Elephas maximus indicus: one gene and its partners. The protein of the gene in region 2 interacts with the protein of the main gene of each other region in a biochemical or structural test. Links are inferred from orthologs where the notes say so. Each region holds a gene or a part of one and is shown on either strand. Other genes may lie near its edges.

Evidence for each region.
Region 1: of the proteins of PARP1 (region 2) and H1-5, one has a biochemical effect on the other in vitro, tested with the Homo sapiens proteins (2 studies listed by BioGRID). The link is inferred for Elephas maximus indicus from reciprocal best matches to the Homo sapiens genes PARP1 and H1-5.
Region 3: of the proteins of PARP1 (region 2) and CASP7, one has a biochemical effect on the other in vitro, tested with the Homo sapiens proteins (3 studies listed by BioGRID). The link is inferred for Elephas maximus indicus from reciprocal best matches to the Homo sapiens genes PARP1 and CASP7.
Region 4: of the proteins of PARP1 (region 2) and PIAS4, one has a biochemical effect on the other in vitro, tested with the Homo sapiens proteins (3 studies listed by BioGRID and IntAct, with this or other methods). The link is inferred for Elephas maximus indicus from reciprocal best matches to the Homo sapiens genes PARP1 and PIAS4.

Annotation. Positions count from the first base shown.
Region 1 is NC_064819.1:78,899,254-78,905,728, forward strand, and holds H1-5 (histone H1.5), read right to left. Parts: upstream 1,340-6,475; 5' UTR 1,296-1,339; coding exon 618-1,295; 3' UTR 585-617; downstream 1-584. UniProt on the Homo sapiens protein: Histone H1 protein binds to linker DNA between nucleosomes forming the macromolecular structure known as the chromatin fiber. Histones H1 are necessary for the condensation of nucleosome chains into higher-order structured fibers.
Region 2 is NC_064842.1:16,084,845-16,092,395, forward strand, and holds the start of PARP1 (poly [ADP-ribose] polymerase 1), read right to left. Parts: upstream 3,333-7,551; 5' UTR 3,123-3,332; coding exon 3,003-3,122; intron 1-3,002. UniProt on the Homo sapiens protein: Poly-ADP-ribosyltransferase that mediates poly-ADP-ribosylation of proteins and plays a key role in DNA repair.
Region 3 is NC_064834.1:64,640,376-64,648,696, reverse strand, and holds the start of CASP7 (caspase-7), read right to left. Parts: upstream 3,422-8,321; 5' UTR 3,099-3,421; coding exon 3,096-3,098; intron 1-3,095. UniProt on the Homo sapiens protein: Thiol protease involved in different programmed cell death processes, such as apoptosis, pyroptosis or granzyme-mediated programmed cell death, by proteolytically cleaving target proteins.
Region 4 is NC_064821.1:7,059,404-7,067,801, forward strand, and holds the start of PIAS4 (E3 SUMO-protein ligase PIAS4), read left to right. Parts: upstream 1-4,960; 5' UTR 4,961-5,072; coding exon 5,073-5,099; intron 5,100-8,398.

The DNA of each region.
Region 1 (6,475 bases), on a different chromosome or scaffold from region 2:
GTCCCAAATAGCAGTGTCCAAACAAAAGGCTCTTTTCAGAGCCACCCACTATTTCTGTGGAAGAGTTGGGTCACTTAAGAAACCCAAACCCATTGCCGTCGAGTCGATTCCGGCTCAATAGCGACCCTAAACCTATAGTCAGTATTTGCCAGTAAAAGCACAACATTTACGGTCACTTATCTTAGGTCCGGTAGGTGTCAGTAAGATTTTCCAGTAGATGTGTCACCCTTTTTAAAATCAAAAGTGTAAAAAATATTAACTCCCCCCAACAGGTTTTTTAGATGTGGTGTACTGGGGGGCACGTAGCACATTCTTGCATAAAATTTTCCGCCGAAGAGACAATGTGGCAGTTATTGGCCAATCGGAGAATGGCGCGGGCTTTTTAAATAAGCTTCCTTCAAGTAACGTTTTAAAGATGGATGAGATGCATGCATACAGTAAAAATGCTCAGATTTAAAAGTGGGGAAAACCTCAACACTGTTCAACCTAATGTATGAGTGAAAATGGGATAACGAAAGACCGAAATACTTAGGATAGTGTACAGCTATTTTGTCAGAGATATTTGGGTGGCTCTGAAAAGAGCCTTTGGGGTTTAGACTTTTCACCAGGCCAACTACCTACTTCTTCTTAGGAGTCGCCTTCTTAGCCTTTGCAGCTTTGGGCTTAGCTGCCTTAGGCTTGGCGGCTTTGGGTTTGGCTGCTTTAGGCTTCACTGCCTTTGGCTTTGCAGAACTCTTGGCAGCCTTTTTCGGCTTGGCGGCAGGTTTGGCCTTTTTCGGGCTCTTGGCCACTTTCTTAACACCTGCCGCCGCGGGCTTCTTCGCCTTTTTCGGAGTCTTCTTCACGGCTTTCTTGGCTCCAGCTGCCTTCTTGGGCTTCTTAGGAGTGGCCCCCGCGGGCTTCTTGGCTTTGGTGGCGCCAGCCTTCTTGGCCTTGGGCTTTGCTTCCCCGGAGGCTGCCTTTTTGTTGAGCTTGAAGGAGCCCGAGGCGCCAGTGCCCTTGGTCTGCACCAGGGTGCCCTTGCTCACCAGGCTCTTCAAACCCAGTTTGATGCGGCTGTTGTTCTTCTCCACATCGTAGCCGCCAGCGGCTAGCGCTTTTTTAAGCGCGGCCAAGGAGAGACCGTTGCGCTCTTTGGAAGCGGCCACAGCCTTAGTGATCAGCTCGGAGACCGGAGGCCCGGTTGCCTTGCGCTTCGCGGCGCCCCCAGCTGTCTTCTTAGTTGCCTTCTTCTTGGCGGGGGATTTCTCCACTGGTGCCGGGGCGGCAGTCTCAGTGGGAGCCGTTTCCGACATGGCGATAGGAGAAATTGCAGGAGAGGTTTCAAATCCAAAGAGAGCAAGTTTTGCAATGCTGGCTCGTTCAAGCCCCGGGCTTATATAAGGCGGCCCTGGCCTGTGATTGGTGGAGAGTCCAATCCACCGCCCTCGGGCAGACGCCTCTCGGAGTTGGACTCCCAAGTTGTGTTTGTTAGTCGCCAAAATTTGATTAAATGAGAAAAACAACGGTGCAGAATTTGGCTCCTTGAAGCTCTAAAGGAGGAAAAGAGCCTCCAGGTTCACAAACTTATTCGTGTTTTCATGAATCGTGACCAGACGTTGAAAGATATTTTTTAAAAACCCTTTAGCTTTGAGTGTGGATCCACCCGGTTGGGGTCATTGCGATAGTTAGTTGTATGTTGCAGTAGATTTCTACTAAGTATTAAACAAAAGTTTTCTAAAAGGATTTGTTCAGAGGTTCAGCTTTTGATTTATACAGGAGGGAAGACACTAGGTTTCTTGCGTTTGGTATAAACTTTGTTTCTAAGTGTTGTAAGTAACACAGATATAGAGCAACTGGTTTCCTACCGCCCCAGATTAAAAATCTGTTCTGCCTTTTCAGAGTTCCCACGTGCTGATATCTTTAGAGAAAAAGGACTTTGCAGCTTGGAAAAACTCAGTTGCCAGTGTGACTTCTTCCCCGTTGCAGCAAGAGCGGAGATCTCTTGCTTCAGATTCCAAAGCCCAGATTTAAATTCGAATTTGGTATGCTATCTGATCGAGATGCTTTCTCTCGTTCTTGGGCAAATTCAGGAAAATGAGGACCAAAAAATGCTTGCCTCTGATAATTTGCTTTAGAAAAATCTCTCAAACCTGTTGAAAATTATTCGAGGGCTCACAGTATCTTCCAGAATGAAGTGCACGTTTAGATGACAGGATCCTATCAGGCTTTCAATACATTTTTCCTAGTGCTCTTACTAAGCCTCTTATGTTCACCAACACTGAACCAGTTGCATAGTTGCGAAAATCATTTTCTGCAAGACGCCAGGAGACATCAATGTGAACATTTGTGTGTGTTTAAGTTCTGACAGATGCATATTTTAGAAAAATAACAGGCTATTTTGAGAAGGTTAGATTAGGTATGGAGGGGCTGGAGGTTACAGGGGTTCAGAAGAATTCAGGAAAACATTAACTTTGAAGAGAACTGAGGCAATGACTATGAGGTTGGAGAAGTTTGCTATTTATTTAAGGGAAGAAATGAAAAGATTTTATGGCCGCTTGATAAAGGAGATCAAATGATGATTCAAATCTCTGATGCAACCAACAGTCAATTCTTGCCAGTGAAAACCTGGGGTGGAGTGGGGGTGGGGGGGGAGGCTCAAATGGCCAATGCACTTTATCTTCCCTCCGGGAGCACCTGGAATAGTTGGCAAAGTACCACCTGTGGGCCACATCTGGACAGTGCCTGTTTTTATAGCTCTCAAGCTAAGAACAGTTATCTTTCTAAAGGACTGCAAAATGAAAGAAAGGGAAGAAGGAAGAGAGAATATATGACAGAGATCATATGTGACCTGCACAGCTTAAAGTTCTCACCATCTGGTCCTTTTGCTGTGTTGTGGACGCCTCCACATAGACACAGATGATGGTATGCTATTACTACAAGACTCTTTCGAAACAGTGCAAATTGAGAACTAATGAAAGGGAGATCTTAACAAGTAAATGTTCTAACCAAGTAATTTCTATGGTTTTAATCAAAACTTTCAGGGAGGTGCTGTGTTTAAAGTAGGGAGAGGAGATAACAATAAATTAAGCATTTACTAAGTGCCAGAGAACATTCTTAGTATGCTGCACTACAGGTTTTTACTTATCTGTCACATTTCACTGCTGCACATCTGAGGCCTAGAGAGTGGATCGCTAACTTGCCCAGGGTTATAAAGTTAGCAACTATCTGCTCTGGGATTTGAACCTAGATCATCTGGCCTCACACTATTATGCTGGGAAAGTGATGAGGGTGGAGTGGGGACCGAGGGCAAGGCTATTTTTGAAGCTTGGAATAGGCAGTAAATTGATCCCCCCCCCCGCCCCCCGCGGAAACCCTGGTGGTGTAATGGTTAAGTGCTATGGCTGCTAACCAAAGAGTCGGCAGTTCAAATATGCCAGGCGCTCCTTGGAAACTCTACAGGGCAGTTCTACTCTGCTCTATAGGGTTGCTATAGGGTCGCTGAGTCGGAATCGACTCGATGGCAACGGGCTTGGTTTTTGGTACCCCCCTAGCAGACAGATACTAAAGGAGCTCTAGGTTAGAGAATCTGTAGGAAGAGGCTCCTGACCTCCTCCCTCTGAACAGTTTTTGTGAACCAATTCCATAGTTTCTGAAATCTTTAGAAAGAACCAGTGGCTAGGACTACAGCCCCTTTGGAAGAGCAAATTGAGGAAAGGGTGGTAGAGAATGAGATTGCTGATCTGTGCCAAAACAGAAGAAAATTTGCCTTAATATAACTCTTTGCCGCCTTCTGAACTCAAGATATGTACCCAAAAAAGTCAACAGTAAAATGAAGTAGTGATGGTAGTATACAGGTAAAATACTGGATAAGGTTAATAAATGGAGTGCTTGTTAGAAAATCTGAACTCTACGTGCAGAGACCAGGAACTGCTTTCAATTGCCATTTTGGGCTTTTAATTTCCATTGTGCTTCTGTATCTGAAGAAAAAAAAAATCATGAAAACCAACTTCACAGAGGTATAACAAGAGCATTGATAAAGTCTCGGCAAATAATTTTCATATAACTTTAGAGGCAGCTCATTTTAGATAAGTGTTGTCGGTAGTTAAGTCTCCAGGCCTTGCTCCCCAACCCCTACATACAGAAAACTACAGTGTAAGGTCACTTGTTCGGTTCCTTACAATGGCATGCATAGTGATAAAGTACCTTGGGAAAGTTCATCTGCTTTTGCACAATTATACTTGCCGACCCTCAATGTGTTAAGTTGGGGGTTTGCAAAACGCACAGCTATTTTACACCCTAGAATAATCTACCTGCGTAACTATCGGTGTGGCAGGGACTTAAGCAAAAGAAAAGAAAAACTTTTGAGATATCAGTATGTGTTTTAGAAGTTTAACAACTCTTTCTTGGAGAGAATTGAGGGGCTCTGAAAAGAGCCTTTTAGAGAAAAATATTGAGAACTGTTTATGCCCTCTCCCCGCGGATGCGGCGGGCCAGCTGGATGTCCTTGGGCATGATGGTGACACGTTTGGCATGGATGGCACACAGGTTGGTGTCCTCAAACAGCCCCACCAGGTAGGCCTCGCACGCCTCCTGCAGCGCCATGACCGCAGAGCTCTGGAAGCGCAGGTCGGTCTTGAAGTCCTGCGCGATCTCGCGCACCAGCCGCTGGAAAGGCAGCTTGCGGATCAGCAGTTCGGTGGACTTCTGGTAGCGCCTGATCTCGCGCAGCGCCACGGTGCCGGGCCGGTAGCGGTGGGGCTTCTTCACGCCGCCGGTGGCCGGGGCGCTCTTGCGGGCAGCTTTGGTGGCCAGCTGCTTGCGGGGCGCCTTGCCGCCGGTGGACTTGCGGGCTGTCTGCTTGGTTCGGGCCATGAGTAAGGAGTCGTGACTGCTGCACTGGAGAGACTAAGGTATGAGGTGGTCGTGGCATTATTTATAGTGACTCTCGCGTTCTGATTGGACCGTCTACTGTTGCTCCGCCTTAGCCTACGCAAGCGGAATTGGCCCCCAGATTAATCCCCTAATACAAAATGTTTCCCGCTCCCACTTCAGACTAAAAACAAAAAACATCAACCAACCAAACTCTTTGCCGTCGAGTCGATTCCGATTCATGGGGACTCTAGGACAGAGTAGAACTGCCCCATAGGGTTTCCAATGAGCGGCTGGTGGATTCAAACTTCTGATCTTTTGTTTAGAGAGGCGAGCTCTTAAACACTGGGCCACTATTTCAGCCTAGGAAATGTAAAAAAAAAAGTATTTTACTGGTTAAGAGAAAAAAAACTTGTTGGAGTTTGCACTATCTAAATTACAAGAGAATCCTGTTTGCTTGAGTATCTGAATTCTTGGGACAAAGTTTATTGAATAACATTAAAGGAACAACTGAGATTAAGGAAACTGACTCGTAAATGGGGGCTTCTAATGTGGGTCGAAATTCGAGTGTGCTATGTTAGTACTTCTAAAATTTAAAAATCATGCTTTTTAACACAACGATCTACAGTCACTACCTTTGGCTTTGCAAGCCATGCTGTACCGCGAACTGATGTAGTGGCGCGAAAGCAGTCATAGGACAAAGGAGCAATGACACATGCGGCATGCATTTGGCCAACAGCGCTAGTCTACCGACCCAGGATTTTTCATTGACTCGGAGACGTTGGTTACGCTGTTACCGGCGTGCCAAACGGAAGGGGAGTAACTGCTTTAATGCTTACTATCAATTTAAACTACTCTCTTCCTTAGTGTTTGGTTAAACCCCCGAAGGTATATTAAAAACACGATCCAGCTATCATTAAGGAACTTTTGACTTTCAAAGTGTACCCGGCTCCTTAACAGATTTTGTGGGTGGCCCTTAAAAGGGCCTTTGGGGAATAGAACGTAGACAAAATCTCTAGCCTCCGAAGCCGTAGAGGGTGCGCCCCTGGCGTTTGAGCGCGTAGACCACGTCCATGGCAGTGACTGTCTTGCGCTTGGCGTGCTCGGTGTAGGTGACGGCGTCGCGGATCACGTTCTCCAGAAAGACCTTGAGCACCCCGCGGGTCTCCTCGTAGATAAGCCCGGAGATGCGTTTGACACCGCCACGCCGCGCCAGGCGCCGGATAGCAGGCTTGGTAATGCCTTGGATGTTGTCTCTTAGGACCTTGCGATGGCGCTTAGCGCCGCCTTTGCCGAGGCCTTTACCTCCCTTGCCGCGACCAGACATGTTTACGGCTGGACGGAAGACAGTTTGTCAAGCTTTAGAGGTAGCGAGTTATATAGTGGTTAATCGGACCTGTTTGGGAACTCCTTACACCAGCTGTATCACCTCAGTTCTCAGATCCGGAGCCCGGGGGCGGGAAGGTGGGGGGAAGGCGGGGGGCGGTGCTTAAACTCCTACTTTCAAAAAGATGCCGAAGCAAGAATTACTATTGGGTGTATAGAGGTCCAACAGCTCTTCCTACTGTGCTTTGCGCCCGCCCACCAATGCAAGGCCCTTCCTTTGTTCAGGTCAGGCCATGCG
Region 2 (7,551 bases):
CTATTGCAATTTTGTAGTTATGATTGTAGATAACTTGAGAAATCAACAACTATAAAGCGATATTAAATATCTGCAATTAACGTTGGTGACAAAATCAAGGGTACTAACAGGCCTTTGCTTTGCTGCTTATGGAGCCCTGGTGGCGCAAAGGCTAAGCGCTCAGCTGCTAACCGAAAGGCCAACAGTTAAATCCACCCAGGCGCTCCTTGGAAACCCTACGGGGCAGTTTTACTCTGTCCTATAGAGTCGTTATGAGTCAGAATTGACTCAACAGCAATGGGTTTGTTTTTCTGACGCTTACATTCGTTATTAGGGGAAATACTAAATTTCATCTAGAGATTAGTAAAAATAGGGATGTAAAAAATTTTCCCACACCAATTCATGGATTTCTTCTGAGTTCCAGCCACCATCCCACAGACCCTAGGTTAAGAATCCCTGCAGAATCCTTGCACTGAGATGGGACTTCATAAGAGCAGGCTCCCCATATACTGAGGGTAAAATTCAAAACCTCCTGCTATCATTGTTAGCTGCCATCACGTTGGCCCCAGCTCACGGTGACCCCAAGTACGATAGAAATACTGCCTGTGGCTGTGCCATCCCCATGATAGGTTGTGAATCTCACAATGTTTCCTTGTAATGAATAGTTTTCACTGGCTAACTGGCTAATTTTCGGAAGTAAATTGCCAGGTCTTTCTTCTTAGTCTTTGTTTGGGAAGCTCTGCTGAAGCCTGTGCACCATGGGTGACTGTGATGGTATCTGAAATACCAGTGGCAAAGCTTCCAGCATTACAGCAACACTCAAGCTACCACAGTATGACAAACTTGACAGACGGGTAGTGGCTGCACACGAGGTACACTGGCTGGTAATAGAACCCAGGTCTCCCTCGTGGGAGGTGAGAATTCTACCACCGATGCACCAATGCCCCATTCAAAGCCCCTTAATGGGAGAAATGGCTCTTCAAATTGCAGGTCCAGGCTACTCCTCTATCCTCATTTTCCTGTGCCCCACTTTTGTACACAATGACTCCTTTTCAAGCTCCCACACTTTGCGCGACCTCTTGGCCTCCTCTCTTGGGCACACAGTTCCATGAGGGGGATACCACCCCTGACCAGCAGTGTGTCTTTATGTTCCTAGCACCTAACACAGTGCCTGGGACTTAACAAGTGCTCAGTAAATGTTTACTGAATAAATACATATGCCAGGTACAGAACTAGGTAGGTCCTGAGGATGCCAAGATAACCACCTCAGTAACTGCCATATTATGAAATGAATAAAGTACACCTGGCACTGGGTACCCACTTCATTAATGTGTACTGTCTCCCACACCTCTACCCCATAAGTCCTGAATATCCAGTGAGGGCTATGTGGTCATTCCTCACACACACTCCTGTCTCGCTGCAAGGGAGGAAAACAGTTAACTGATGCTGAGCACCAAGCTAGGTGAGAGCCAGAATTACATCAGCAAACTGTAAGCTGGAGCAGGCAGGAACCCCCAGCCCTTAGCAGGAGCATTAAGACACACCACCTCACAGTACACTCCAAAACCCCTTAGGGCACTGAGGGGGAACCCCTGACTGGTCAAAAAGCCCAGATGACCAACCCTCCCAGAGCCACTCTACACATAGCAGACAGCTGTAAACGCATTAAGGGAACATCTGTGAACCTGGGATATATTATTTTAAAACATATGTGAGACCCGCAGGGCGTGTACTGGACAGAGACTACACCAACTTGCATAGTTTTGCATAAATTAAGATTCAAAATGAGGGTGAGCAGGCCGCTGACATGAGAGCCAAAAATAGATTTAAAAAAGAAAAAAAATTCTCCCATGTCAGCAGCCAGCATCAATGTAGGACAAAAATCTTCCAGCACAAGGTAGGTCAAAGTTAGGCTAGCTTCCAGTCTGAAAACACTATATACTGTACCATCCTAACCATATGGACATTCTGGAAAAAGTCAAGCCTACAAGCAAAGTGAAAGGGGTTGCCAGGAGTCAGGGAGAGGGATGAATAAATAGGTGGAGCACAAGGCATTTTTAGGGCCGTGAAACTATTCTGTACAATGCTGTAATGGTGGACATATTACGCATTTGTCAACACCGACAGGAGCGTACATACAACACAGAGTAAAACCCTAACGTAAACTACGGGCTTTAGTTAAGTTTATCAACATTGGTTCATCGTCAGTAACACATGTACCACACCACTGCAAGGTGTTAATAACGGGGAGAACACTGTGCAGCGGGGAGGGGATGATACGGAGCTCTCTAGTCGGTTCACTTTTTCCGAAAACCTAAAACTGCTCGAAAAAATAACGTGTTAAAAAAAAAAATCAGCCTAGTTTCGAAAGACCATATCTATTTTCCCCCCTAAGGCGGACAGTAAAAAGAAAAAACAAGAGCTCTTCCGCCCTAAACAAGGGCAGAAGCGACTTTTAAAAATCAAAAGGTACCAGCAGCCCCAGATTTCCCGGGTTTTTGCTGCAAGATCAACAAAACCGTCCGGGAATGTCCCCGGGCGGGCCACGCAGCGCGCGAGGAATGGTGGCAGCAGCGGCGCCCACAGGCCCAGGCCAGCGGCTCGGGCGGCCCCGGGCCCTGCTCGCCCCTCCGGGCCCTGCTCGCCCCTCCGGGCCCTGCTCGCCCCTCTCGGCCCTGCTCGCCCCTCCGGGCCCTGCTCGCCCCTCCGGGCCCTGCTCGCCCCTCCGGGCCCTGCTCGCCCCTCTCGGCCCTGCTCGCCCCTCTCGGCCCTGCTCGCCCCTCTCGGCCCTGCTCGCCCCTCCGGGCCCTGCTCGCCCCTCCCGGCCCTGCTCGCCCCTCCGGGCCAGCTCTCCAGCCTGCACCCTCCCCAACCCGCCCCTTCCACGTCTGAACACTGCGGGGGCGAGTGGGGGGTTCGCGCTCTCAGGGAGGGGCTGCGCCCGCCGCTCGACCCGCTCGGTACAAAGCGGCCCGCGCCGCCGGGGCCGCAACGGACGCCCAGCTCGGGCCTCCGGGCCGCACCTGCACCATGATGGCCATCCGGAGCGAGTCCTTGGGAATGTTCTCCTTGCACTTCTTGCAAGAGGCGCGCCCGCTCTTGGCGTACTCGGCCCGATAGAGCTTGTCCGAGGACTCCGCCATCCTCCTCCTCGTGCCGCTGCAGCTCCTGGAGCCCGACGCCGCCACCTGAAGACACGCTGCCGCCGCCGGCTGCCGCCGCCCCGTCCGCCCCGCGCGTGCCTGCCCGCCCACCGCAGGCGCCCCAGCGCCCAAAGCCGCCGCCCCCGCCGACCACGCCGCGCCGACCACCCGGCGCTCCCCGATAGATTGCTGATGCCTGGCCGCGGGAACGTCCCCGGCGCCTGCGCTTACGGGGCGGGCGGGCAGCACGCGCGCGCCCCCTGCGGGTCGCGGGTGGGCGGTGTCTCCTGTGCGCCCGAAGCGGCGTTTTCTGAGCAGCTGCTGTTTGCCAGAGGGGGATGGTGGTGGGGCTCGAACCGTCTGTGAAGGACCAGTCCCCTTCCTTTTACCCATTTTGTCTTCCAGAGAAGCTTACTTGCTCTTACTACTCTAATTCTACCCTCTAAAAAAAAAAATCTTCTTTTTTCTTGCCCGTTTTATAAGGAGCCCTGGTGGCGCAGTGGTTAAGTGCTTGGCTGCAAACCCAAAGGTTGGCGGTTCCAACTCACCAGCCGCTCTGCGGGAGAAAGACATGGCATTTGGGTTCCATAAAGCCTCGGGTACTCTATGGGGCAGTTCTACCCTGTCCTATAGGGTTGCTATGAGTCAGCAGGGACTCCATGGCAATGGGTAGCCCTTTTTCAAGTGTGTCCTCTTGCCCGCGAAGGGCAAGTCTGTTCTGGAAGATGCTGGGTGGCTCTTGAATATGACTGATCTGTTGTAGGGTGGACCGTGTGGTGGGAGGTCAACCCGAACTGACCCTTGGCGGGTGTTCTAACCTGAAGTCCATAGACCATTGGGACAGAAGACGAACTGAAATTCAGACTCTTGCTCATTATGAATTTAAATCCCAGGAGTATTAGCAATACCAGTATCTGCTGTTGAAGGGAAGGGTTGGGGGAGGATTCAGGGTGGGGTCACAGTGTGATATACAGTGTCACATACTTTCATATCACTTTATGCCAGTTGGAAACCCTGGTGGTGTAGTGGTTAAGAGTTCGGCTGCTAACCAGAAGGTTGGGAGTTTGAATGCACCAGGGGCTCCTTGGAAATCCTGTGGGGCAGCTCTGCTCTGTCCTATAGGGTTGCTAGGAGTTGGAATCAACTTGATGATAATGGGTTTTTACAGTTGTTGGAGATAATTCAAACTACTGTTTAAGTTCATCGGTACTTGCACGAGCGGTAGTTACTAGACCTCCTCATACCAAAACAAACAAACAAACAAACAAACAAAAAAACCCAAACCCGGTACTGCTGAGTTGATTTATCTTGTTATTTAATGCAGAGCTGAATTTTTTTTTTATTGTGGTAAAACATATACAGAACATAAAATTTCCTATCTTAACCATTTTTAAGTGTACACTTCAGTGGCATTAATTATATTCACAATGTCGTGCAACCATCACCACTGTTTCCGAAACTTATTCACCACCTCAAAGAAAAACGTTGTGCCCATTGAGAAAAAGCTCCTCATTCTACCCTCAGTCCACGGTAATTACTAGTCTACTTTCTCTCTTTATGCATTTGCTACTTACATTCCGTAAAAATGACATCATACAATATTTGTCCTTTTATGTCTGGCTTATTTCACTTAGTATAAATGTTTTTTGCAAGGTTCATCCGTGTGGTGGCATGTATCAGAACTTCATTTCTCTTTATGGTTGAGTAATTATTCCACTAAAAAAAAATTTTTTTTTCTTTTTTTTAATTTATGTACCACATATGTTTATTCATCTTGTTGATGAGCATTTGGGTTGAACACAGGAAATAGAGGGCCCCCCAAATCTGCAAGTGAAGTAACAGGAAATGGGCCAGGGCGCAGAAACAAAGCCATTCTCCAGAACAATGGGGCCCAGAATGGGGCAGGGTATCAGAAAATAGCCCACACATTTCTTTAAAGTTGTTTTTCAGAAGCAGCTGGAGAAAACCAGCCCCAGGAACATGCGCAGAACATCTACCTGTGACCTGCTGTGTGACCTTGCACCAGGGGCAGTGAGGGGCTGCAGCAGCAGCCAGGGAATCAAACGCTGGAGCGAGTGACTGCGCGGGCGCAACACCCCATCGTAAGTCCTGCTACAAATCTCAGAGGCCTCCAGGACAGGAGCTATCTTGGAAAGCTGCTGTGCGTGCACTGTAGTTAACTATCTCCGCCTGTGTTAATAAACATGAGTCTTTTACCGCCCAAGAACTTTTAAAAACCCAGCCTGTCTTTTGTTCTGTGAGACGGGGTATGCGTTGCTCTAGGCCATCCTCTTCTCTGCTTGCAAGCGTCTTCTATAAAGCTTTGCTTATGTGGAAAATTCTGCGTGCCTTAGCCTGTTCATTCTTGACCAGTGAGAGGCAAGAACCTTATTCCAGTAACGGGTTGTTTCTACCTTTTGGCCATTGTGAATGGTGCTGCAGTGAACATTGATGTACAAATATCTGTTTGTATCCCTGCTTTCAAGTCTTTTGAGTATATTGCTGGTATGGAATTGCTGTTAATTTTAACAAGGCGCCCTGGTGGTACAGTGGTTAAAGGTTCAGGCTGGTTGGTTCAAACCCACCAGCTCGCTCAGGGGGAGAAAGATGTGGCGGTCTGCTTCCATAAAGATCACAGCCTTGGAAACCGGGTGTGGCAGTTCTACTCTGTCCTGTATGGCCATGGGATGAGTCGAAATCTACTAGAGGGCAATGGGCTTATGGTAATTCTATGTTTAACTTTTTGAGGAACCACCAAACTGTTTTCCAGAGCAGCTCCTGACATTTTACATTCCCACCAGCAATCTCTCTACGTCCTCGACAACACTTATTTCCCATTTTTTTTCTGATAACAGCTATCCTAGTAGGTGTGAAGTGGCATCTCATTGTGGGTTTGATTTGCATTTCCCTTATGATTAATGATGTTGAGCATCTTTTGCATATCTTTTTAAAAGAATTGTCTATTTCAGTCCTTTGCTCATTTTCCATAGGATTATTTGTTGAGTTGTATAAGTTTTTTACATATTCTGGATACTAAACTCTTATCCGATGTATGACTTCCAAATATTTTCTCTCATTCCGTAGCTTGTCTTTTCACTTTTTTGATATGTCCTTTGGTGCACAAAAGTTTTTAATTTTGATGAAGTCTCATTTATATATGTTTCCTTTTGTTGGTCATGCTTTTGGTGTCGTATCTAAGCATTTATTGCCAAATACAAGGTTCTGAAAATTTACCCCTCTTTTTTCTCCTAAGAGTTTTATGGCTTAGCTCTTATATTTGTGTCATTGATCCACTTTTAGTTAATTTTCGTATATGTCATGAGGTAGGGTTTCAACTTCATTCTTCTGTATGTGGAAATACAGTTGTCCCAGTACCATTTGTTGAATGGACTTGGCACTCTGTTGAAAATTCATTAACCATAGACGTATAGGTTTACTTCTGGACTCTCAATTCTATCCCATTGGTCTATATGTCTATTATTATACCAGTACGACATTGTTTTGATTACTGTCGTTTTGTAGCAAGTTTTGAAATCGGAAAGTGTTTAGTCCACTTACTTTATTCTTCTTTTTCAAGTTTTCCTTGGCTTTTTGGGCCCCCTCGCAATTTCATATGGATTTAAGGATCAGCTTTTCCATTTCTGCAAAAAAGGCAGTTGCAATTTTGATAGGGATTGCATTGAATCTGTAGATTGCTTTGGGCAGTGTTGACATCTTAGACTATTAAGTGTATCAACCCATGAACACAGGATGTCTTTCAGTAGAACTGTATTTTCAATATAACTGGTTTCTTTTTTAATACTATATATTTCACTTTATATATTTAAAAACATTATTGTAATGGGAGGGTGCTGGATTTGAAAATATTCACTTCTTATATAGAGGACAAGAAAAACAGAATGAGTGAAACTCATAAAAAGTGTTAAGCACAGAGAGTAAAGAAGCTAGTAGTTTAAGAGATAATGAATGATGAGTAAGCAAGTAGGTTGTGAGATCTAGCCGGAGTCCATATGATGTGTTAAATATAGATAATAAATAAGTTAGTAACCTGTTAGATATATTAAATGTAGATAGAATAAATGGAATGTGTGACAGAATAAATGAAAGTTTAACTTAGAGAGTAGCTAGGTCAAAAGGTGTGATCATTCCATCTCTGGGTTGACAACTAGGCCATCCCTAAGTGGTCCGCCATTGATAATACCATTATGGCCCCATTCTGACTCTACATTTGCTCTGCCCAGGAAATACAGATAAAACCCATGTCTGTTCAGCAGGCTGAACTGTATAAAGATGGCGAGCTACAGCTGCAGTCCAGGCGTAGAGCAAGTGTGTGTAGGTTCCAGGTACCCTCTGTCTGTGGAAGCGCCTTGAGCACCCTCAGCTTTTGACCTCACAACCAGAGGGGAGGGCTGATGTGACAGGAGAAGAG
Region 3 (8,321 bases), on a different chromosome or scaffold from region 2:
CCTTCCACCCACCTGCCAGAGTGAATTTTTGCAAGTCCGGTGGTACCTAACCTTTTTAAATCCATAAGGCTAAACGTTCAGGCTGAGTTTGATTTCTGGAGCCAGCCAAAGGGCATTCATACTCCAGGGGGGTGATCGAGTGGGGTGCCTGATCCCAGGCACACCATTTCAATCAAGAAAGAAGCTGCCTCAAGAACCAAGACTTGGTATAAATGGGCCCCTCATTTCCATTCATCCTCATGGCACAGCAAGAAACTCCAGGCCTATCTCAGTCTGCCACACCACCCGGAAACAGCTTGCTGGCACCATTTCCTTGTATTTGTCCCCTTCTGGAGGCCCACGGTGCAAAGAGCAGTCATCCAAGGGATACTCCTTACTGGATTGTTAAACATGTCTACCTTCTCTTTAAAAGTCAATACGATAGACAAAGCACTAACAGTGACACTCTGTTAGTCATTCCTATTACTATTAATGCTAACGTCAGCTAGAACTCTTGACTACTGGCAGACTAAGAGTGTATCTTAATCATCTTTCTTTTATCAGTGTCTTAGTTATCTAGTGCTGCTGTAACAGAAATACCACAAGTGGATGGCTTTAAGAAAGAGAAATTTATTCCTCACAGTCTAGTAGGCTACAAGGCCAAATTGAGGGCATCACCTCCAGGGGCAGGCTTTCTCTGTCGGCTCTGGAGGAAGGTCCCTGTCATCAATCTTCCCTGGTCGAGGAGCTTCTCAGCACAGGGGCGCCGGGTCCAAAGAATGCACTTTGCTCCTAGCTCTGGCTTCTTGGTGGTATGAAGTCCCCATGTCTCTCTGCTCGCTCCTCTCTATTCTATCTCAAAAGAGACTGGTTTAAGATACAATCTAATCTCGTAGATGGAGTCCTGCCTCATTAAAATAACTGCCGCTAATCCCATCTCATCAACATTGTAGGGATAGGATTTACCCCACATAGGAAAATCACATCAGATGACAAAATGGTGGACAATCACACAATACTGGGAATCATGGCCTAGTCAAATTGATATTTTTGGGGGACACAGTTCAATCCATGACAATCAGGCACAGAAAAGTGCCCCACACACGGCAGGCACTCAAGAAATATTTCTTTATGAATGTTATAACTGAAATGCATTTTTAAATCCTTTAGTGCCAGAATAAACTGCTGACACAGGACAGACAACGGAACCAAAGGGACCCAGGAGGACAGTTGAGAGTCCAGGCACGGCAATCAGCTGATCTGGGGTCAAATCAGCTCCTCCACACTCCGCCATGAAACCTCAAAGTACTCAACGTCTCTGAGTCTCAGTCTCCTTATCCGGAAAATGGGCAAACCCTGGCACCTAAGTCACAGGTGGCTGTGAACACTGTGACACGTTCTGAATGTTCAATAAGTAGCCCTATTATCATCACTGTCCACAGAACTCAAGACTAAGGAGACATTGGACCATCTACTTGCACTGGTATTTTAAAACCACGTCCATGCTTTAAACAGCTTTTGTGAAGACAGAAACAAAATTCCTCTAGTGACTCTTTCAAAACACACTTAATTACTGCCCCCATATTAGGGCAACTGGTACATATCTGGGTAAGAAATCACTTCCCAGCATTGTCTGAACTTGGATTTTTTTTTTTCATGAGGGAGAAAATGGACTCATTGCAGCTGTTTCTCCTGAAAAGCAACATGATGCAATTTGTGCTGCACTTCTTGACCAAATAAAGGCAATCTTTCTACAGGGCTCAAAGAGAAGCAGCCCTGGTGACCTTCACCTGTCACCTCTGCACCTGGGGGCAGCTCTCCTGGGCATTCAAGTGCTCCACTGTATCACCTGCTCCCCACAACACTGCCAGGAGACTTGAACCTTGCCCTCTGTTTTGCTGAGGTAACCTAGGTTTCTTCAGAGAGGCTAAGTAACCTGCCCAACACCACACAGTAAAGAGGTGCAGAAGATGGGTTCTGAATCCAGGTGTTGGAACCTGGGTTGTGATACTGAGGACGAAGGTCAGGCTGGTTGCCTAGAAGATCCTAAAGGAGGAAATAGCCCTTAAGTAAACATCACCCAGTCCAAGTGTTTCCGAGAAAAGGGTGGCGCATGACTCATCCACAGTCATGCGCAAGCAACTTGAAAACAAAACCGAAACCGAAGCCCGTTGCCATCAAGTGGATTCTGACAGACCGTATAGGCCAGAAGAGAACTACCCCACAGGTTTCCAAAGAGCGTTGGATTTGCACTGCTGACCTTTTGATTAGCAGCCCCGTGGTTAACCACTGTGCCACCATGGCTCTTGCAAGCAACTTTACTGCCCCATAAACCACAAAGCTGGGTACACTGGTGAAGGGTTGCAAGGTCGCCTGTAGCCTGGGAGTCCACAGGCCTTTTTCACCTCCTCGAGACCACTCCATGAGCCCCTGCAGCAAGGCTAGTCCGACAATGAGGGTACTAGCTTACAGGTATTGAGCCTGGACTGAGGCTCTTTTGTGCACCATCACCTCCATCCATGCCTGCAGCCACCCTCAGCCCGGGATCCCATCATTCCCATTTAACAGGCAGGCACAGACAAGGTCAAGGTCCTACAGCCGGCAAGCAGAAGTGAGGGGACTGGTTCCACCAGGCCTCTCTGACCTGGAGTCCTTGGTGTTAACTGCGGTGCCAGACATCGCACCCCTCCTTTCTAGCAGCGCAGTGGTTAAGAGCGCGGCTGCAAACTAAAGGGTCCGGCAGTTCGAATCCACCAGCCGCACCTTGGAAACCTAGGGTCGCTATGATTCGCAATCGACTCGACCGCAAAAGATTTTGCGGCCGGGGGGCAGAAGCGGGGAGGCGGGATTCTAGCAAAATCCGTATAGTATGGGGTGTCCTAAGCCCCCTGGCAAGGAGGGAAGGGAGGACAAGCTGAGCAAAGCAAGCGGGGCTAGGGGCGGGGTAAACCGTTCCCCCAAAGTTTCAACGCCTGTCGTCCGGGCCGCCCTCCCCGCTCCTACCACCACACCACCCCGCTCCTAGCTGTCTCCAAACTGCGCTCGCAACGGCGGAAACCACGCATGAAACGAGCGAGGGAGAGGGAGAGGGCAGGCGGAGGGGAGGCCGCAGTTACCATTCCCAAGGCCGTCGGGCAGCCAGAGCTAGCCGCTCCGTCGGTCACTCCGGTGCGGGGGTCTGAGGGGCCGCTGTAGCGAAAGCGAAAGTAAAAGCCCGCGTGCTTCAGGGGGAGGAGCCGCCGGGGCAGGGCGCGGAGCCGAGCGAGACTGCGGGTACCGCCCCTGATTCGGGACCCGGCGCTCCCCAAAATTGACGGCGCGCAAGATGACCTGTGTCACTGTCGAGGGGAGCGCGCACCGCCGGGGAGAGCGCGCACCATCCCCGAAGAGGGCACTCTTCGCACCCGAGAGCGTGCCTCACGAAGTCTGCGGAGTTAAATCCCGCCGTTGCGCGCACAGTTCCGGGAAGCGCTTATTCTGCAAAAGTGCCGCTTTTACAGTGACCCAGGGGAGCGCTCCCTGAAGACTCAGCGGCGCGCAAAGTGATCCGGTCGCGATGACCACCCACCCTCGGTCCCCAACGCCGCCCCCGCGGCTGCCCCTAGAGTAGGACCTCGATCTTGGCCTTCGCATCACCGCGGATACCGAGTTCCCAGAGCCAGAGGGCTCGTCCCCAGCCTGACCCTTGACCCCAGTCTGTGCTGCTCCTGTCCCTCGGGCCGCTCCGGACCTATATCTATAACAGTTACCTTCGCCCCCTCCGGCCAGCCGTGGGATCTGCTGAGGTCTTCCCGGCTCCCAGACGTTGCTTCCACTTGGAAATTTGCCCTCGTGGGCGCGAGGATGCCAGCTTAGCCTTCTCAGGTTCCAACCTTGCCACACAGCCAGTTTTGGGCGAAGCAGCTTCAGAATCTTTCAGGAAATATTTTTTGAGCGCCCCCATGCGTCAGGCACTGAGCGTGTGGCCGGGAATAAATCAAGGATAGGAGAGAGTTCGTACCCAGTGGTTCTACCTCACCCTTACCGCCTCTACCAGCCTCTCCTCCAGTCTGTCTTCACCCCTCGGCTTCCAACACCTTTCTCTCAAGACCCCTCAGGAGAGCAACTAATTAACCCAGGCACACTGACGTTGTAAATATCTGTAAAGAAATTATGGTTTTATTCATACCAAAGATATTCGCTTTAAAAAAGAACTCTCGAAGCCTTGAGACAAAGGCATGAAACCTTTATGATATGATGTCAGATAAGAACTGTATCTTTTTGTTTGCTTGCTTGCTTTTCCCTGGGCCTAAGACTTCACTGTTGTCTCTAAAATCTCACCACGTAAAGGGCATTTTCTTGATTTGAAGAAAGACTGGGCTTGGACAAGCGTAAGGGGATAACTTATTATGATTGATTAACTTACGTAAAAATCCTGAATTCCTGAACATTTGTAACCGGCAGCTACACTAGTTACAATTATGGTTGCACTGTTGTTGCTGGGTGCCATCCAGTTGCCTCCGACTCGTAGCGACCCTATGTACGACAGAACAAAACGCTGCCCAGTCCTGTGCCATCCTCACAATCATGTTTGAGCCCATGGTTGAAGCTACTGTGTCAGTCAACCTTGTTGAAGGTCTACCTCTTTTTCCTTGACTGTCTACTAAGCATGATGTCCTTCTCCAGGGACTGGTCTCTCCTGATAACATATCCAAAGCATGTGAGACAAGCCTCATAGTCCTTGCTTCTAGGGAGCATTCTGGCTGTACTTCTTCCAAGACATATTTGTTCGTTCTTCTGGCAGTCCATGGTATATTCAGTATTCTTCCGCAACACTGTAATTCAAATGCATCAATTATTCTTCACTCTTCCTTATTCATTGTACAGCTTTTGCATGCTTATGAGGTGGTTGAAAACACCATGGCTTGGGTTAGGTGCACCTTAGTGCTCATAGTGACATCTTTGCTTTTTAACACTTTAAAGGGGTCTTTTGCAGCAGATTTACCCGATGTAATACGTCATTTGATTTCTTGACCGCTGCTTCCATTGGCATTGACTATGGTTCCAAGTAAAATGAAATCCTTAACAACTTCAGTATTTTCTCCTTTTATCATGATGTTGCTTATTGATCCAGTCGGGAGGATTTTTCTTTCTGTAGAGGTGTTTTTTTTTTTTTTTTTTTTTTTGAGGTGTAATCCATACTGAAGGCTGTAGTCTTTGACCTTCATCAGTAAGTGCTTCAAGTCCTCTTCACTTCCAGCAGGCAAGGGTGTGTCATCTGCATATTGCAGGTTGGTAATGAGTGTTTCTCCAATGTTGATGCCCCATTCTTTTACATAATAGTCCCAGCTTCTTGGATTATTTGCTCAGCATACAGATTTAATAAGTATGGTGAAAAGATACAACCCTTACGCACAGCTTTCCTGATTTTAAACTACACGGTATTCCCTTGTTCTGTTTGAAGAACTGTCTGTTGGTCTGTGTACACAAATGAGCACAATTGTTATGGACTCCTCATTCTTCACAGTGGTATCCATAATTTGTTATGATCCACACAGTCAAATGCCTTTGCACTAGTAAAACACAGGTAAACATCTTTCTGGTGTTTTCTGTTTTCAGCCAAGATCCCTCTGATAATCAGCAATGATATCCCTCATTCCATGGCCCTTCTGAGCTTGACTTGAATTTCTGTCAGTTCCCTGTGGCTACATGGCTGCAACTGCTTTTGAATTATCTTCAGCAAAATTTTACTTGCCTGTGATATTAATGATATTGTTTGATAATTTCCGCATTCTGTTGGATCACCTTTCTTTGAAATAGGCACAAGTATGGATCTCTTCCAGTCAGTTGGCCAGGTAGCTGTCTCCCAAATTTGTTGGCATAGATGAGCGAGACCCTTCAGCACTGCATCTGTTTGTTGAAACATCTCAGTTGATATTCTGTCAATTCCTGGAGCCATGTTTTTTGGCAATGTCTTCAGTGCAGCTTCCTTCAGTACCAAAGGTTCTTGATCATATGCTCCCTCCTGAAATGGCTGAGTGTCAACTGCTTCTTTTTGGTACAATGAGTCCGTGTATCCCTTCCATCTGCTTCTGATGCTTCCTGCATTGTTCAATTTTTTGGCCATAGACTCCTTCAGTATGGCAACGCGAGGCTTGAATTTTTTTTTCAGTTCTTTCAGCTTGAGAAATGCTGAGCATGTTCTTCCCTTTTGGCTTTCTGACTCCAGGTCTTTGAGTGTGTCATTATAATACTTTACTTTGTCTTCTTGAGCCACCCTTTGAAATCTTCTATTCACCTCTTTTGCTTCATCGTTTCTTCCATTCACTTTAACTACTCTGTGTTCAAGAGCAAGTTTCAGAGTCTCTTCTGACATCCATTTTGGTCTTTTCTTTCTTTCCCGCCTTTTTAATGACCTTTTGCTTCCTTTGTGTGTGCTATTCTTGATGTTACTAGTGTTCAATGCATCAGATCTATTCTTGAGATGGTTTCAAATTCAGGTGGGATATGCTCAGGGTTGTACTTTGGCTCTTGTGGACTTGTTCTAATTTTCTTCAGCTTCAACTTGAACTTGCATATGAGGAATTAATGGTCTGTTCCGCAGTTGGCCCCTGGCCTCGTTCTGATTGATGATACGGAGTTTTTTCATCGTCTCTTTCCACAAATGTAGTCAATTTGATTCCTGTGTATTCCATCCAGTGAGGTCCATGTGTACAGTCACTATTTAATGTGGTAGAATGGCAGCATTACTGTTTAATACCGTATTCCTGAAAAATGCTCTTGAAAAGACACTGAGTAAATTTTTTAAAAGAAATTCGGTTGTGAATCATTTGAGAAATAAAGAATCCTGTTAGTAAAGCAAATAAATTGCTCTCTAGTTTATCTAATTTGTAAATCTAAGTTTTGCGGGTTATTCCTGATGAGTGGAATTGACTTGATGGCAACAGGTTTTATAGTGAAACACACTGTTAGAGCTAGAAGTGGTCTTAGCAACTAATCTCTCCATTCACTTGATAGATAAAGAAACTGAGGCTCAGAGAAGTTGTCTGCATCCCCAACTTGCTAGTGTCAGAATCAGGTTACCTAGAAAAATGATGAACTTACCATTTGCAAGAAGACTGTACAATAAATTATATCATGGGAGTGTTAAAATATGTTAGCACACAGGAATTCATTGCTGGCCCAAATGGAAAGGTGGTTGGAAGGGAAACTTTCTTTTCTCAGTTCTTTATTGTGGGCTGGAGTGGGGAACTCCAAAATTGTTGCTCTGAGTCAGGATTATCCCCATATCATGTAAAATCATGGAAATACAGAAGGAAATAAACAATTTTAAACTTTGCCCTCAATAGTAATTGTACTGACTCTTTGGATCTAAATGTTATTCTCTTCTAAGTGTATCTCCTGTGTCTCCATAGCCTTGGACCATGTCATTATTTTATGTTTGCCTTTGATATTCACATGACTATAACATCAGCCTTCCCCCCCATTTCAGAAAAATCCCCCCAAGTCCCCACTATTTGGATGGATTCCTAAGGGTTGACCTGGGAGTTGGGGCAGGCGGGAGCTCCTGGGCCAATCCCTCTAGACCTTTCCTCCACCTCTGTCCTCTGGTCGCCAGGCTGCTGTAGCTAACTCTGTTTAGTCAGCCCCGAACCCTTGATCTGCTGGTCACAGCACCCCCAAATGGTGTCACCAGTGGTTACTCCTCCAATTCTTCACAGGACAACTCAGCCCAGGCTATGGCTCCACAGAAGGATATCCCAGGATTAACAGAAATGCCACTCTTAATGACTTCAGGCCCAAACTCAAATTCTGGCTACTGCTGAGTCAGTGAGGCAGATTGGGTAGGAAAACTCAAGCCCCACCAATGAGGCATCTTCCTCAGTCAAGGTCCAGGCAGAATCCTCTCTCCTGGAATGAGGAATTCCTTTGTACCTGTTATTGATTGCCTCTCAGCTCCAAATTCACCCTTTTTGCCTGTGCTGTGAAAATAAGACTGCACCCGTAAGTATTTTACTTTTGCCAACTTGAAAGCAAACCTGTTGCTGTCAAGTTGATTCCAACTCATAGCTACCCTATAGGACAGGATAGAACTGCCCCTTAGGGTTTCCAAGGCTGTAACCTTTATGGAAACAGACTGCCACACCGTTCTTCCACAGAGTGGCTGGTGGATTTGAACTGCTGACCTTTCAGTTAGCAGCTGAGTGCTTAAACGCTATGCCACCTGGGCTCCTTTTCTTTTGCCAGTAGAGGGCACTGGAGAGACTGTGAAATGAAGGGATTTTGTTTCCTGGTTCTGGTGTGTTCCTGTAGCCCCAAATTCCTGCAGCACGATGGCTTCCCAGTGCCCAGTTCCTGCTGTG
Region 4 (8,398 bases), on a different chromosome or scaffold from region 2:
GGGCTCGAACTTCTAACTCTTTGGTTAGTGTTAACTGTTGGCTCCACCCACAGTCTTCCATATCTCAGGCAAAAGCAATTGGAAGGGAAAGACTCTAGAAAGGCAGGGAATGTGGAAGGAGAGTTCAGAACTTCTGTTATCAGCTGTTTTGAGTCTGGGGGTGTGAATGGTTAACAGGCTTGGGTGTTCACAGAAAAATTGGAGGTTCCAGTCCACCTGGAGGTGTCTGGGAAGAAAGGCAGGGTAATCTGCTTCTGAAAAAAATCAGCCATTGAAAACCCTATGGAGCACAGTTCTACCCTGACACACAGGGTCACCTTGAGTCAGAGTTAACTCCCGGGCAACTGGTACTGGTTGGTTTTCTGCACCAGGCCCTGTGTTGGCTGCTTGGCAGAGGGGGAGAGGAAAAGGGAGAGAACATTCCAGGCCGAATAAACAGAGGGACGGAAGCCCACAAGGGGAGAAGGAGGCAGCAGAGCGTGAGAAGGTGAGAAAGTCAAAGGGAGTTTGGGTCACAGGAGCTCTGCTACGGGTCGCACCATGTAGGGCAGTGGCCTGCAGGTAGTTCAACCCTTCCCCTAAAGGAGTGGCTTCCAGAAAAGGAACTGAGTCCAAAAGCAAGACGAAGGGTGTGGACAGTGAGTGGTGGGAGGGGAGAGGGTTGGGGGTTGCTGAGAAATATCCTGGGGGTGGGGAGGTGAGAAGGATAGACAAATTTCTTGACTCTTGATTAGATTACAGACAGATTCCTCAACCCTGATTAGATCAGGGGAAACCCTGGTGGCATAGGGTTAAGTGCTACAGCTGTTAACCAAGAGGTTGGCAGTTCGAATCCACCAGGCGCTCCTTGGGAACTCTACCAGGCAGTTCTACTCTGTCCTATAGGGTCGCTATGAGTCAGAATCGACTCAACGGCAGTGGGTTGGGTGGCTTAGATCAGGGCTGTCTCCAACATCTTTAGGGAATCCCCATTTTTGTCTCTTTGAGCCAGAAAATGTGATCTGTGATGGGAACTCTACCAGGCAGTTCTACTCTGTCCTATAGGGTCGCTATGAGTCAGAATCGACTCAACGGCAGTGGGTTGGGTGGCTTAGATCAGGGCTGTCTCCAACATCTTTAGGGAATCCCCATTTTTGTCTCTTTGAGCCAGAAAATGTGATCTGTGATCAAGATTATATGGTGATATAGAAGTTCTTGGGTTAATGCTTTCCACTGCTAACCAAAAGGTTAGAGGTTCGAGTCCACCCAGAGGTACCTCAGAAATAAGGCCTGGCAATCTACTTCTGAAAAACCAGCCACTTAAAACCCTGTGGAGTGCAATTCCACTCTGACACACATGGGGGCGCCACGAGGCAGCGTCTACTCCATGGCAACCGATGTCCTGGGATGGAGACGTAGGAACATATACATTGTGTTTACATTGTTATCTAGTTTACTTGTTACCTGTACTTATTGTGTATTTACATTGTTACCTATTTTAAGGCGCTTTAACACTAAACCTACGAATTTCACAGGTATACTTGGCCTAGACCTGATTCAGTTTACTTCAGTGCAAAAAAGGAAGTCAAGTTTCTACAGCTATGTTGCTAGTCGGCCTCTAAGAGATTCCAACTCTTGGCAAGCCCGAGTGTGCAGAGTAGAACTACTCTACAGGGTTTTCAAGACTGTAACTTTTTGGAAGCAGATCCCCAGGCCTTTCTTCTGAGGCACCTCTGAACAGCTTGAAGCACCAGCCTTTTGGCTACTAGTCACATGCGTAACCATTGTACCACCCAGGGACTCCTTCTATACCTATTAAAAAAACAAACCAGCTACCGTCGAGTGGATTCCAATTCCTGGCAAACCCATGTGAGTTAGAGTAGAACCATGCTCCGTAAAGTTTCCAATGGCTGGTTTTTTGGTAGTAGCTTGCCAGGCCTTTCTTCCAAGGTGCCTCTGGGTGAGTTCCAAGAGGTAACCTTTAGGTTAGCAGCTGAGCGGTTAACCATTTGACCACCCAGGGACTCCTCTGTACTTACACCTATATGTATATCACCTAACAGTTCAGGTGATTTGTGATCTTGGCTAAATTGGGAAGGATATGACTAGACTTGATGAATTCTGATTTAAAGCTGGCTGTATAATGGTCTTGTGGGGATTTAACATTTCCTCTCTATTTTTTCTGTCCTTAGTTGCTGTCAAGCCCACTCTGACTCATGGTGACCCAATGTGTGTCAGGGTAAAACTGCTTCCTAGGTGGTATGGATTGTCCCTCTAAAATATGGAAACCTTGGTGGTGTAGCGGTTAAGTGCTATGGCTGCTAACCAAAAGGTTGGCAGTTTGAATCTGCCAGGAGCTCCTTGGAAACTCCACGGGGCAGTTCTACTCTGTCCTATAGGGTCCCTATGAGTCAAAATCAACTCCAGTAGTAGGTTTTGATTTTTTGGAAGCCTTCAATCATGATTCCATTTGGGAATGGTCGTTTTTGTTATATTAATGAGGCAGGATTAGCATAGGGTGTACCTTGAGTCAATCTCTTTTAAGATATGTTGTTGGTAGGTGCTCTGAGTTCCATTCCAACTCATAGTGGCCCTCCTTACAACAGAATGAAATATTGCCCAGTCCTGGACTATCCTCGCTATTGTTGCTATGCTTGAGCCCATCCTTGCAGCCACTCGTCAATCTATCTCATTGAGGGTCTTCCTCTCTTTCATTGACCCTCTACTTTACCAAGCATGATGTCCTTCTCCAGGGACTGGTCCCTCCTGATAACATGTCCTAAGTACGTGAGATGTAGCCTCGCCATCCTCTCTTCTAAGAAACATTCTGGCTGTAACTTCCAAGACAGATTTGTTCCTTCTTCTGGTAGTTCATGGTATATCCAATGTTCTTTGCTAACACCATAATTCAAAGGCATCAATTCTTCTGTCTTCCTTATTTATTGTCCAGCTTTCATATGCATATGAGGTGATTGAAAATACCATGGCTTGGGTCAGGCACACCTTAGTCCTCAAAGAGATGCCTTTACTTTTTAACACTCTAAAGAGGTCTTTTGCAGCAGATTTGCCCAAGGCCAATACGTATGTCCTTTGATTTTGGGGTGCTAGCTCTCGTGGGTGTGGTGTGTGTGTGTGTGTGTGTGTGTTTAGCTCTCGTTAGGAAACCCTGGTGGCATAGCGGTTAAGAGCTATGGTTGCTAACCAAGAGGTCGGCAGTTTGAATCCACCAGGCGCTCCTTGGAAACTCTATGGGGCAGTTCTACTCTGTTCTATAGGGCTGGTATGAGTAGAAATCAAGTCAAAGGCAACTTTTTTTTTTTTTTTTTTTAAGCTTTCATTAATTGCAATTTGAATTTGTAGGGCAGGACTTTTGCCTGTTTTGTTCACTGCTGTGAACCTCAGGCCAAATCCAGAGTGGATTCTGTCTTTACTTAAAATATTGATATTTTATTTATCATGGAATTTTTCTGCATTTATTTCGATTTTTAAAATTTTTGCATTAACATATTTACCTTGATCACAGGATTGTTTGGTGCCTCCTTAATTTTTCATAAAATTTAACTTTGTTTTTGGTGAAAATATACACAGCAAAACATGCTCCCATTTAATGGTTTCTGTTTGTCACATATTGTTCAGTGACATTGGTAACATTCTTCATATTGTGTCAATATTCTTGTAATTTCTGCTCTAGTTATTTCACCCCCATTAATTTAGGACATAATGCTTGATAAAATAGAGGGTGAGCGAAAAAAAAACCCTCAAGGAGGTGGACTGACACAGTGGCTGGAACAGTGGGCAATGACTGTGAGGATGGCAGTGTTCCATTGTTATATACATGGGGCCGGTATGAGTCGGAAGTGAACCTATGGCACCTAACAATTTAGACTCACTGCCCACTAAGCTCTTCTATGCTTTAGAGTTACTGTTGTCGCTTTGGTCTCATATAGTGTTGTTTTTTTTTATCTCAATAGTTAAGGATGGTATTCTTTTTAAGCTAAACTTTTTTTTTGTTTGTTTGTATAAAGATGACCTCAGGAGATGGTTTTGGTTCAATGTTTGAAGAGTATCTCAAAGCAACAGTATCCGGGGGTTTCTCCAGTCTCAATGGGTCCAGGAAGTCTGGATTCTTTGGGAATTTGAAGTTCCAGTCCACCTTTTCCCCCTTGCTATCAGGATGCATCTAATGTGTCCCAGATAGAAACGTTTGGTAACAGTAGCTGGGCACGGTGCAGTTCTGGTCTCATGTTAGAGGAAGTAGTGGTTCATGGCGCCTCCTTAAATTTTGCGCCTGAGAATTAGCATCTCAGGGGATAGGTCTTGAAATAGAATACATTTATGTCCTCTTTCTTCCCGCTTTGGACACAGGAAAGAATGAGATCCGCTGACTATGGGCACTGGGGAGCCAAGGACAGCGTTTGAGCTCGGGAGGTTCAGGTCAGTGCAGAGCCGGAATTCCGAAGGGGTGGGTGGGGGAGACAAAACGTGGGGGGAGGCGCCTGCAGAAGGACGCGGGCTGCACGAGGGGCGGCGTGTGTGGGCGGGGGTCCAGCGTTTCTCAGGCTGGCCGGGCTGGGGGGCTGCAGAGCCCGCCCCCCGGCCAAGGACCCGGATGTGCGGCGCTTGGGGCGCCAGGTCTGCACCGCGCTGAGTGCACTGGCGTCCGCTTCAGTGGAGCGACCGTCCCCTCCCCCCACGCCGCCAGGCGTCCGGGCACCTACCTGGCGGGCGCCCGGCGCAGGGAGCCGCGGCACCTGGCTGCACTGTTGTCTGCGCCGCCCCACGCTCCCTCCCTCCCCAGATGGGCCCAACCTTCCGCCCCCACCTGCGCTGGACTCTGTCCCTTTAAGAAGCGAGACCCTGCCGCGGGTGGGCGTGGTCACCGCGGGCGAAGGAGGGGCGGCTTTGGGCCGCCCTGATTGGCTCGAGGCCCGGGCGCGGCCGCGCGCGCAAGCGCAGCGCGCAGGAGCGCGAGCCGCGGGGGAGGAAGCCGCGCGGGCGCTTATTGGCCCCGGCGGCGGCCCCGCCCGCGAGTGGCGGGCGGTCACGTGACGCGACGGCTGGGGGTCCCGGCGCTGGGGACGCTGGTGGCCAAGATGGCGGCGGAGCTGGTGGAGGCCAAAGTGAGTGAGCGGCGGCGGCGCCGGCCCGGGCGGGCGGGCGAGGGGGCGGGGCGCGGCCGGGCGGCGAGCCGGGGCCTGCGCCTTCCGCCCGGGGCCCTACAGCGCGGCCCGACGCCCGGGGTCCCCGCGTCGGCCCCGGTCCGGGTCCGGGGCTCGGGGTGCGGGCGGGGGCGGGGAGGCTGGGGGCGGGGTCCCAACACCTCACCCCCATCATGCCGCCCGGAATCGGGGATCCCCCAACCCGCTGCGAGGTGCCGCGATCCGGGGCTCCGTAAATACAGGAATAGGGCCGCTCCTCCCAGCTTGAGGCAGGGTCCACCCCGGACAGCGTGATGGCTTGGGGTTCTCGTCCCCTCCTCGTCCCAGCGGGGTCCGTGCTCTTGGGCCGGGAGGAGTGTCTGCGTCTCCCTTGCGCCCCCTCCCCATGCCATAGAGGGCTAGGATCTGGGGTTTATCCCTCGCGCAGTGAACCAGCTTAGAAGGGTCCCCTGACTGCAGCCGTGTGCTGCCACCGCCACCAGCCCAGGCTGCGGGACCAGGGTCCTAGATCACCACTAATACTGAGTCCGCTGGCGGGCTGTGCCCCAGGCTTGGTTTCGGGGGCCCCGCTGGGGCTCCTGCCTGAGTCCCGGAGCCCCGCCCCCTGGGGCTGAGCCATTCCCTGTTGTGGGTCAGAGGTCTCAAATCCTTCATCAGCCTCACGCCGTGGGTACTGCTTTCTCCTTCTTATTCCCCTCAGGACAGCATCGGGAGTGACTGACCCCGTTTCTAGGGGTTCTAAACCCCACGCTCATGCCATCAGATGCCACTTCCAAATCTTGGGTGTTTTTCCTGTGCTCTGTAGTAGCAGCAAACTTCTTGGCCTAGGATATCTTCCACCTCACCCAGCCCCAGGACTGGTCCTTTAAGTGGTTCCGATGTGGCTTGAGTCCCTCTTTTTTCCATATATTGGTCCTTGGAAGGTCCCCAGCTGGTTCCAGGAGAGGTAGGTCCCTGGGCTTCTTCCCGACACCCTGGATCAAGGATCCAGGCTCTGCACCCTCGGAGATGGTGGTCCCCTCTAGCAGCTTGGGGTCCCTTCTGACCATCCTGGGATAAAGCTGAGAGCATCCCTACCCAGGAATCTGCTTTCTTCCAGATCCTCCCAGAGGCGAGTTCCCAAAATGTTTGCCTTGATTCAGAAGTGACATAGGATAGAGGAGCCCAGAACTTCTCTTAGGACCTCATCACAGCCCTGCCCCGCCCCTCCTGGGGTGCCCTCCCCAAGGCTCCAACCTGCAAATGCATGCTTTTTTCTGCCCCTCCCTCTCTGCTTCTGCCTCCGTTTCTGCTGGGATCTGAACACAGCTCTCCTGGTTCTGGGATCATAGTGTGTATCTCCCCCCCAGACCCCCGCAGTCCACAGTCCCCACACCCCACATGCTTCTGCACTTCCGGGGCGATGGAGAAATCGCCACTTTGCCCTGGAGATGTGACAGCAATCACCCCACTTAAAGTCCCCCCAGAGCCCTGAAATCTAAAACTTCTCATGGGGCCATGGAGCTGTGACCCCAGACCCCTCCACAGCCAGAGGGTAGGGGCTGTCCTTTCTTATACTGTCCTGGACCTTGAAATGTGATCTCATGAACTCTGCTTGACCCATTGGCGGCTGGGGCCCCCTAACCCCAATTAAATCAAGTTGACCCTTCTTTCAAGTCCTGTAAAACGTGAGCCTCCCTTTGGGGAACTTGGCTCCAGCAAAGCTTCCCTGATCCTGGGCACCTTCTCTATCCTTTAGTCTTTTGTCGTGGTCCGGTCCCCGCGCCGCCCCCCCCCCCCCCCCGCCAGCTTAGAGTGCCTTAGATGCAGTGGAAATGCCCTCTGTTTTTCTTTATCTCTGGGACTCCCGAGAGGCTGCTCCCCTCTCTCCCCAGACCCTCCTATTTTCGAGCTGGATATTTGCTTTTGGGTGCAAAATAGAAGTGGGGTTTGTCTATAAACTTTGAAATCTGAGACTCTTCACTTGAAAACCACGAGGTGGGTTTGGGGCGGGGGTGGGGGCCATAGCAGCCTTCCACCATCTCCTGCATCTGCGTCTTGCCTTTTTCTGGAGCACAGGCCCACCACCTTTCTCTGATCTTCAGAGGAGCGCACGGCGGAGACAGGGTTCAGCACGGCTACTGGAGCTGGTGTCTCCACGCGGCATCCAAACACGTCCACTGTGTTCTGGAAGCTGTTCGTAGAAACAGTTCTGAGAGGCAGAGGGTTCTGAGAGGCGGGTGGGCCAGGATGAAGCCGCAGCAGGAAGTGCTCTCTGCGGCCTGTGAGGTTCTTTCTGAGCATCCATCCCCCCCGCCCTGCACCCCCATCAGCAACAAGGACAGGCTGCTCAGTGGTGGCAGCTGCTGGGGAATTTGAGGCATGAGCCTATGGAAGCCTGAGGGGTGTGCTGTCAGCTGCCTGTGCCGCCCTGTTCCTGCCTGGCCTGGGCGAAGGGTGCCTGGGGGCTCTCAGGGGTGGACTGATGCCGCTCATCGGTGTGGTCACGCTCACACACTGCTTATGGCTTAGTAGTGGGTGTCAAGTTGCCGCATGGTATCACCTCTCCCCTTTCAGGCCTTGGGGGTCTTCCAGAAGAAACATCTGCGTGTCTTTTTTTTCACTGAAGTTAGGAAGCTTCTGGACTCATTGAGGGCCAGCAGGCTGCTCAGGTCCCTGGGCAGGGGGTGTCCTGGTGAGGAGGGATCTCACAACACCCAGGCAGGTGGGCAAAAGCGGAAGGAAGATGGCCTCAGGAGCCAAAGGCTGCTGGCTCTGCCACTTATAAGCAGGGTGGCCTTGGGCCAGCCACTTCCCCTCTTTGAGCCTCAGTTTCCTTACTTGTGTAGCAGGTGAAGTTGTTACGGGATTTGCAATGTTAAAAGCTCCTACCTGGTGCCTGGCACATGTGAGGCACCGTACGTCTGCAGTGGCAGGAGTAGAGGGATGTGGGGAAGCCCCCATCTGATTTTTGTAGTCAGCACTGGGTTGCTTTGCTGTCTTGTCCCTGTCATTGGAGACCGGAGGTGCCTCCATCTGCAGCCAGACTCTAGCATGTAGAGCCAGAGTACTCCTGGCGCGTTTCCAGCCCATGCTCACAATGAGGGGCCCAGCTCAGAGAGGCCTGACTGGCCCCGGGCTGTCTGGCAGTTCGGGCAGGGTTGGAACTTGAACCCAGGGCTCCTGATTCCCAGGACCACTGTGAAACTCCATACTGAAATGTGCTGTGGTGGCCCCAGCCTCTGACACGGCTAGGAACGGGGCAAACAACGGAGGCCCCC